2 linked regions of the Drosophila melanogaster genome follow. The protein of the gene in region 1 purifies or fractionates together with the protein of each later gene. This does not show direct contact. Each region holds a gene or a part of one and is shown on either strand. Other genes may lie near its edges. The genes, in order: Mcr and LRP1.

Region 1 (4,921 bases):
TGGTGTGTCATGGCAGGCTGGATGACGTGATTGTCTCCTCTCCTCTTCGCTGCTCTGCTCTTCTCTTCCCCTTCCACGCTCTCCCACTCTCTTGCTCGATGGCTTTTCTCCTTTCTCTGCGCCCGCATATGATTAAAACGGCAAAACAAGATAAAACTCGTTGGAGCAAAGGAGCTGCTGCCGCCTGCTTGTTGGCTTTGTTGTTGTTGCTGTTGGATAGGCCCTGCGAGTGGGTCAGTGTTCGAAAAGGGTGTGAGGTTGCGGGTGGGGGTGGTGGGTAAGTAGGGGGTTGTGGGAGGTAGAATATACGCATGACACTCCTTGCCGCCGCACACACACACACTTGCAAAGATACACCAACACTAGCGGAGCACGCGACACACGCACACGAGGTCACTCACACAGGCGCAGGGCCGTATTCCCCAACACCCACACAATCGCACGCGTTAAATGTTATTAGTTTATTTACGGTATTAACAAAATGTTATTGGCATGAATAGTGTAGTACATCGTACATCATGCATCACACTGGAGTATGTACATCAGAGCAGGGAAAACACCCACACACAGACACGGATATGGTTTTTAAGCACTTTTCGGCATTGTGACAGTAACGCGTTGGGGATTTTAGTTACTGGGTTTCCATTTTCATTTCATTTCTTTTCTTTTGTGGCAAAGGAAGGGGGTGTCTTTATATTTCTCTTTTTCGCTTTCTTCTTGCTTTTTGAGCAGCGATGACGACAGCGTGCGCGGCTCTTTTTCCCAACGCTGCTCCGCTTTTTTGCCTTCAATAACATTTACACTTTGCACTATTTATGTAATAGTTTTTCAATCGGTGCGCGGTGTTTCATCTCAGCACGATTTTCGGGCACTGGCTGGCGAGCACTAGCCGCAGACTGGGTTACGAATTATGTACATTTTTCACATTTTTCCCCGATGATTTTTCTTTTGTGTTTTACTACCAATGAAGAGAACAAACTACCAATACACACGCACGCACTCTCGCACACACACTCACTGAGCACGCACTGACACACACACATGCCACCGCTCAATGACGAAATTCCTCGCAAAGCGTTGACAACTCTAGGTTCTAGCTCTCCCAGCTCCACTGCTTTTGCTTCTGCTGCGTGTGCGAGTGTGTGTGTGTGAGAGAGAGAGAGAGATGGGTACTTGTGCTGGTGTGCTTTTCGTCATAATTTTTGCGTTGGGCAACCCAGCACCTTTGACTTCTTGGCGACTTTTCACACGTAAATGACCGAGGGGGCTCACACTTTCACCGCTGGCACACAGACTGGGCCTTAAACCGATCGACTTTGCACAATTTTTCGCATTTACCTAGCACACAAAACACAAAAATTCGATTTTTTCCTCGCTGATATTTTCACGCGAATGACCTTACATCACATGCATACAATACACACACACACAGACAACTGAAGCGGTGGTATGACCAAGGCTTATAGTCAAATAGTAGCAAAAATACTGAACGATATATACTAAAAAGACTATAGAATGCCATTATCCAACACTGGCGCTGAGCGGATGAAGTTTTGCCATCTCTGTCTTACTCCCAGGCTAAGAACTAAATTCCCTCATATATTCTAGCAATATGTTATTCTTAGAATTCTGTGGAAACACGTAAATTATAACTGGTTCGCAGATTAAGCTTAAACTTAGTTAATAAATAAAAATACGCTTTTCTGATAAACTTTTGTAACGTTATGAGCTTACTTCCTTTGTTCCTAATTTATTATGACATTAAAATCATTAGGAATTATAAAATTTTCACATCAGCAGTTTGAACTCGCAGTGCGACCGTTAAATTCTTAGCGTTCTGGCCACACCTGAAATCTGGTATTGTGCCAATCTCTGCGAACGGTCACACTGCATCAGTCATCAAAGCGGGTGTGGATCGCTGTTGGTTTTGTGTTGTTTCATTTTTTCGAATCTTTGAGTTCCCGAGTTAGTTTTATTTACCTTTCTGTTGTTTAATAAAATGTGCATGGCCTGCTGAGCAGCCAGATTAGATCGAATTTCAGTACCGAGGTGAGTAGAAATGGCTTTTCGGAGCTCTTCCACTTGGCGACCCGCCCAAAAATCGTGTGTTTGGCCGTCTCCAAAATGCCTAAGCCAGTGTTATTGTGTTGTTGCTGTTGTTGTTGTTGGCACATGGGCGTTGACCGAAAAACGAAGAAGTGCCTCAAATATTGGTTACAACTTTGTACTATGTGCTCGTTGCTTTAATTAGTAATTGTAAAGGAAGTTTTTCGTTAGGAACACTTTGCCACTAAAAGGAAATGTGAGTGAGGATGGCGTTTTGGCCACCTGCTGGCCAATTGGATTGCGGCGTCTTCTTTCGTTTTTCTGCCTTCAAGCTCTCGAATTTCCGCCAACAGTTGCTCCTTTGGCCGCCCAAAATGTCCTGCCTGCTGTTTCAATTGCACTTTTGCCCTCTCAACTCATTTCGAATGGGTCTTCTCGGCTAATTAATGCCCACTTTACTTGTGTATTACGCTGGTGCTGGTGCGCCCTCTTGCACTGGAAAAAGTGATGTCAAATATATTTGTTATATAGAAATGTTATACCGAAATGGCATTTTTAAACGAAAGAAAACTCTATAAAAAGATTTTTTTAAATAACAAAATTCAATATTTTTTTTTATAATGAAAAATATTTATATTTTTAATATGAAAAATCCCATTTAATCAAGATCTTATTTATTTCAAAAGGTGAAAAAAATAAATCTAGTAAACTATTTTCTCTCTGTGTAGCTGTGCGCAAAGGGTGGATTACAAGTCGCGTTGTTGAAATTATTACGAGTTCGGTATTTGTTTTCACCGCCGAGAGTAGAGACTGGCCTATAGGCCAGTAACTTCTGCTGCTTCAGTGCACAGAGTATCTCGCCCAGGCCGATATCTATGGTCAGGTAGCCGGTTGTTTCATTTGCGTGTTTCGCTCAGTTCCAGTGGTCTACCTTTACCTTCATTTGCTCGCCAGTGAATGCATTTCAAATGCAGCCAGCCACACACACACACGCACTCCCTCCATCCATCCTTCAATTTCATTTCACCTCACTTGTCTAGAAGTCGGTGCCGGTGCCTCATTGTTCTCCTGGCGTGGACCCTTTTTGTATGGTTGCCATTAAGCGTTGACTTCTTACCCTACACCATGGAGTTAATACCTGAGTAGGGAGGATTTCGAGGTCCTTGCTCGAATGATGTATTCCCTGTGTGCCGGCTGATTGTGTGCTGATAAGCTGGAATACTTAAATATGCGCATTTTTTAATGTTGCACACATTTCTCCACCAGCAATTTGCAAAAAAAAAATAAATAATTTTTAAAAATGAATTTTTTAAGAACTCCTAAGAACTGTTTTAATTGAGTTCAAACGTTCCTTACAATTTGTCATACTTTTGAATTTTAAGTAGATTAAATTAAAAGTTCACATCATTATTGATATGAAAAATTGTCTATAGTATAGTATGGGTATATTCATAATTATTCCTCGAAAATCAAAGTGGTTTGTGAAGCTGAGATTTCGTAATCTCTTATAAATCAACCATAAATAACGAAGGCATTAAAAACCCATTCAAAAGAAGATTCGAACGCCTCAAATCCCAGCGTGGCATACATCTCTGCTGTCTAATTGCGCCGCCCACTTGAATGACATTTTACTTAATGTTTGACATAGTTTCCATATTGCCGCTGGCCCCTTAAAAAGATCTCCCTGAAGATACGTTCATTGCTCCTGCCGGATCGCGTCTATAGTCTATTAATACCGATGTCGGCGCCCTCATTAACGACTTGTTCGCATCACGCGGAAATCAACCGACCAACAACAATCCTCGAACATGAGATGCGGTCCATGACTTAGGGATTAGGGTGCTTTGGAAATACATATATGCGAAAAATTTAAAAAAATCTTAAGTACTTAACTACAGGCTATATTTAAAACAAAGTATTGGTAGGAGGTTATGCACTTATTTTTAAAGAGCAGCTTATTCAGGGATGTTAAAAGTGATTCTTATTCAATATCACAAAAAAACTTCATACAAAGCTTACTATTTTTTATCGAAAAATCGAATAAACTCGAAAATTTGTTTTGAAAACCATTGATACACCCTATTCGACAGGCATTAAAGAACAGGCCGATCACCCAAATCAGAGGCCTCTATTTATAGTATTTGGGAGATGCATTTATGCCCAGCGATTCTAATTCATTCACTTCTGACTTCTCCTCTCAGCAATGATGTGGCACTTGCTGCGCGCCCTGCTCGTGGTAGCCGCCGTCTTGGATGCACTGCAACCGGCGGTCGGACAAAACGACAACTACTACAACCCCAACCAGAACCAGCAGAATCCCCAGCAGCCGCTACTGCCCAACCAGCAGTGGGGTAACAATCCACAGACGAATCAGTATAGCAACAACAACCAAAACTTTGGCCAAACGAATCCCAGTGATCGCCCGCCGTACAGGACCGATTCGGGGAGCTACAACGATATTGCCGGGCAAGATGACTATAATAAACGAGTGGGAGGAGGCTATCAGGACAACGAGGAGCCGAGTCTGACTCGTGGAAAGTCGTCCTATAACATCAAGGCCACCTTCCTGGAATCGCTGCATTCCAGGGAGCCCACTTACTTCATTGTGGCATCTCGAATGGTCAGACCTGGTCTAATCTATCAGGTGTCCGTATCCATTCTTCAAGCTCAGTACCCGATAACCGTTCATGCCAGCATCGCGTGCGATGGTGTCCAAATCAGCGGAGACTCTAAGGATGTCAAGGAGGGCATACCGGAGACGTTGCTCATGAGGATCCCACCAACTAGTGTGACTGGAAGCTATAAGCTTCGAGTGGAAGGTTTCTACCAGAACGTTTTCGGTGGCCTCGCCTTCCTGAACGAAACAAGACTAGAC
Region 2 (4,863 bases), on another chromosome or scaffold:
GATTAGTTCTTCAAACCATATCAATACATATTGAAAATACTGTAAAAAGGAAGCACCTGCAAATAGCAAATAGGATTGCTTTAGTGTTCAAGATTACTGATTAATTATAAACAAATAATTAACCTTTAATCATTACCCCCAATTCCTTATCAGTGTCCGATTCCGTGACTTCGTAACACACGAGCAAGATAAGAAATAAAGCCGGAATTATAGTTTCATCAAAAAAGTCACATATGCTATATAATCCATCTATTTTATTGCACTATTTCACTAGTTATTAACAAGATAGTTTTTTGTTCACCATAGCTTGGGCGAATTTTCAAAAATAGTTACGCTCATGAATTTATCGCTGGGGACAATCAGTGTGCTTTCATCACTTCTTCTGCCTCCGTTCGTGAACACAAATGAGGCGTGCCACTCCCACTTTGCATTCCGGTTTCCCGCCCCCTTTTTCCACACCGTCCGTTTAACGCGGACAGCAATTATTAAAACAGAGCCATTGGCGACATGATAAACGATTTCCGCAATATTTCCGCCAGCCCAGGATGGCCGGGGCAGAAATGGCAATGGAGGCAGCGGCGGCAAAAGGGAGGATTCACTGTAGGGTTGCAGGCAGAGCTTTAACCCCACCATCCCACCACCCCTCCACCACTTTATAGCCGCGGGGAAGAACGCTCACTGCGAAACACTTCAGCCAGCTACACAAATTTGTGCACGGGTCGCAAATTGTGGGTGCGTCGCAAATGGTTAAACTGTTCAAAAGGCCGCGGCAGGTTAAAAAATTAGACAGAACTCTTACGTAAATTGAAACAAAATGTAAAAATTGTAATATGACATTTAGAGTGAATTAAAATAGAGAGCTGATCTTAATAATTGTATTAAATCAAACCAAGCTTAATTGTTGAAAATGATTAGTTAATAAAGAGCTAAGCCTTTGGGCCAAAACAAATGCTATCTTGTTTTCCAGAATACAATTCTCTTTAGTAGAAGCATTAGCCAATCCATTTGTCTGGATTAACAAAATGCAAATTGGCTTAATTATGCGATTTGTGAAATGGCAAGTGAACGGCCTTGAAAAACACGATACAAAAGGAAATCTATATTGTAAATTCATACGATCTATATAAATAGCTGGACTTTAAATGGAAGCAACAATACACATTTTGTGCTCTAATACAGTGTTCGTTTGTTGTTTGCACTTTGGCGAAAAGATTATAAATGAGATTTCAAAAATAAAACATAAACAACAAGGTGTCATTAACATTTGTAGGTGCAGCTAGCTACTAGCTACTGCATTCATCGCAGGAGAAGCCGATTCTCAATCTGCGTAGGGATAGGGAATTACAGATCTCGCAGTGAATGCGAAATAAGTGCACAAGCTTAATAAATGAATAATCCGAGTCGCCTTCTAACTTTGTCGTTTATCTCATCCGTTACGTTGTCTCGTTGGATTTGTCAGTCAGACAGACAGACAGACAGACAATTCGTTTGATTGATTTCGGTGCCTTCTGTGCATTCGCTCTCTCAAATTGTCACTGAGTGCTGGCGTCGCATCGCTCGTCAAATGAGGAAATGCTTACTTTAATTTTATTTACTTCTGCGCGTTCCTTCTTCACAATCTTAACGAGATGGGGGCAGCAGTGGCCTTTGTGCGCAGACTTTTGGACCCCCGGGTCATGGATCATGTGCATGCATAATGCGACCGAGTCAAGAAGTCCATTGTATGTATGTACATAATTTATTTAAATTTATTTGTTGTTGCAGCGCAAATTTTCCGCGGTCATAAGTATTTCATTCGGTGTCAGCGGCTGACGCGAACTACGAATTATATGTATCTTTACTTGCTTACATGCAAAATGTCAAGTGATGGGTTCAAGTGTAACATTTCTAATGATTTTTAATAACTATTCTTTTCTCTTTGAATAACATATAACAATTAAATAGTGCAGTTTTTAATTAAATATAGACCTTAATTCAGTACATTTTTACAAGACTTATTTCTCTATAAGTCCTTCAACTTTTATACTTGAAAACTCTTTGGAAAGAATGCAAGCTCAATTACTTTTTTTTTTGACTATCCTCGAGATCTGCATCTTTGCATGATGGCCAAATATTTTTATTTAATTCTCGTTGCGCGAAAATTCCAACCGAAACCGCAAAAAAAGCGACAAAAATATTTTGCATACACTTGTTTTTGTTTCTATTTTCATTTGTTTTGCGGCATTTTGCGGCGAGAAAACCAAGGAATTTGCATAACAAAGTGAAGTGACGCTTGATGGGGGAGGGGGCATGGAGAAAGGGGAACTAACAGCATACAAAAACAGAGAGACAAAGAGACCGACAGAGAGACAGGATGGCAGACGGAGAGAGCAGTTGTTATTTTTGGCACAGCCAGTGTGATGGGAGGGGAAGCGGGGGAGGAGTTGTTTACTTAGGCCAGGTTAATGCACCGCAGATTAACAACAATTAAGATGCGGGGGAGCGAGAGGGAAGAGGGAGATAGGGAGATGAGCCAGACGGAGATAGCACACGTACCTTTATCGGGAAGGGGACGCAGAGTGGGGGCCTCCTGTTGCTCCTGCCACTGGACCTTCCTGTAGCCGCTGCTGCTGCTGCGACTATTGATGCGCCCGCTGCTGTTGCTGCTGCATCTTTCCACGGCGACCAACAACAACAGCAACAAGATCCATGAATTCGCTGTCGCCGGCATTATGCCGCTGGCCGCTCTCCTCACACACACGCTACCACGCACACACAGACGCGCGCGCGACTCTCCTTGTTGTTGTTCTTCTTCTTGCTCTCCTTCGTGTTGTTTCAGCCTTCCTTTTACACAATAACACAACACTCACACACTCACAAACTCGAACTCACACCAAACACACGTAAACCGGGGGTGGCAAGCAAATCACAAACAGGTAACTTTTTTTTACTTAGATTTCCATTGAAACATGCATTTTGTTTGTTTAATTTTTCGAAACGCTTTACGCGCTCAGAATTCGCTGCACATTAGTACACCGCACTCAATCACTTCAGCATCCCTCATGCCGCGATTTTCTTATCCGCCAAACACAACGGAAAAAAACAAATATTAACTCATTATATTTTGCCGGCTGTTTTCACCGAAGCGGCGTGATTTCCCGTAATTTTTTCTTCGACTTCAGCAGCACGCACGACCGCTCGATTCTATTATATTTCGATCTCTGCTCTGCGAGATTTGCGCGAAGCGACCGAACACCTTCAACTGCGTTTACCGATTGAAGCGCTCCAACCGGTTAAATACTACGCGCAGCTATTGAACAGTATTTTTTACAGCCGCGACTCCGGTCACACCGTCGATGTTTGTGTGATGAAGAAATTTAACAGTGCTGTTAATTGGCCACACAGAAATTGTAAGGCGCTAATTTCAAATTAATTTGATTTATAATCACCTCATTACTTTTAATGGGGATATTTGTTCCAAAAACATGTATAATCCAGTTCTACGTAATCGACGTTGTCGATGGTAAAAACACCACACACAAAACAACACACAACATTACTGTGATGCTTACTGTAATAATTATTTTATAACTCTTTTTAATACTATTATCAATGATTCCCGGATCTCTGGATGGGCGGCGAGGGCATGGCCGTCTGGCGATGCCATAAATATCAACAAGTGCTAATTAAAAATAAAACAGAGGAAGGCCCTTAATAAAAAAAGCTCTGTTAGACAGAGAACGCACTTTTCGTTTTTTAGTCACAAATCGAACGGCCGGCAGTTGTCAAAATATTTTGATTTTTCAAATTTTCCGATAGCTCAATACAAATCCAAAAATACCCACCGAACAGAAAAATTTTTAAGAATTCCATAATTGTCTGTACCCAGAATGCTGCGCCAACTACGGGTAAGCCCTGGAAATGTACCCGAACCGGTTGCATAAGACTGCAATTGAATGCAATTTATGCAGTTTTTCTACATATGTACATTTTCTATTTTTATTTTCGTAACGCCCAGTTGACAATGGATATTTCGGGTTGGATCTTCCTCCCGTGGAGACGCTCCATGTCCAACATGAAGGACTCTCCTCCACCGCCACCACCACTGGCCAGCACTTTCAACGACGTGATTGTGGACTACGAGGACCCGGATTATCTTCCACTGCCGGAGTATCCGGTGCGTCCAAACGAGCCGTTGGAAACTCGCAAGCAACGGTGGGTAAAATTATTAACTATTAATTAATAACTACTACTATAACTATACTTTACTTTATTCTATACTTTACTATACTTACTTTACTTATAAGGAAAATCATTAATTAAAAGAGCTCATATTTAATATATATATTTTCCCTTTGCTCTCATCCACCATTGCCTTAAACACTTCCATTTATGAACTCTACTTTTTTTTAAGAAAGCATGACAACCTCTATTTAGAAAAATTTATACTATTTTAATTTTAAAATGTAGAACAGAAAAATAGGATTTAAACTCCAAGTTTCTTTTTTCTTCATCATCGATCGCACTTCTTAATTTTGCATCAGTTGTACAACCAACTAAGCTATTCTTTCCATAAGTATTTTTTAATATTAACCAGAAAAACACTTCACCTCCAGGCTTTTGTACCAATCGCGCAAGCGCGGAATGCTGGAGAACGATCTTCTGCTGAGCACCTTTGCGGCCAAGCATCTCCAGAACTTCAGCGCCGAGCAGACGGCGCAGTACGACCAGTTGATCAACGGGGTCAGCAACGACTGGGATATCTATTACTGGGCCACCGAGGTGAAGCCCACGCCCAAGGAGTACGACACGGAGATCATGGGGCTGTTGAAGGAGCACGTCAAGAACGCCGAACGGGTCACGCGACTCCGCCAGCCGGATCTG

What was found.
Region 2: the proteins of Mcr (region 1) and LRP1 purify together in Drosophila melanogaster (affinity purification with mass spectrometry, with the first as the bait; one large-scale study listed by BioGRID). This does not show direct contact.

What each region holds. Positions count from the first base shown.
Region 1 is NT_033779.5:8,079,939-8,084,859, reverse strand, and holds the start of Mcr (macroglobulin complement-related), read left to right. Parts: upstream 1-1,877; 5' UTR 1,878-2,049; intron 2,050-4,247; 5' UTR 4,248-4,249; coding exon 4,250-4,921.
Region 2 is NT_033778.4:8,172,504-8,177,366, reverse strand, and holds the start of LRP1 (LDL receptor protein 1), read right to left. Parts: upstream 3,203-4,863; 5' UTR 2,711-3,202; coding exon 2,536-2,710; intron 1-2,535. Other genes in the region: CG14757 (uncharacterized protein), read left to right, coding at 3,870-3,887, 3,998-4,194, 4,596-4,863.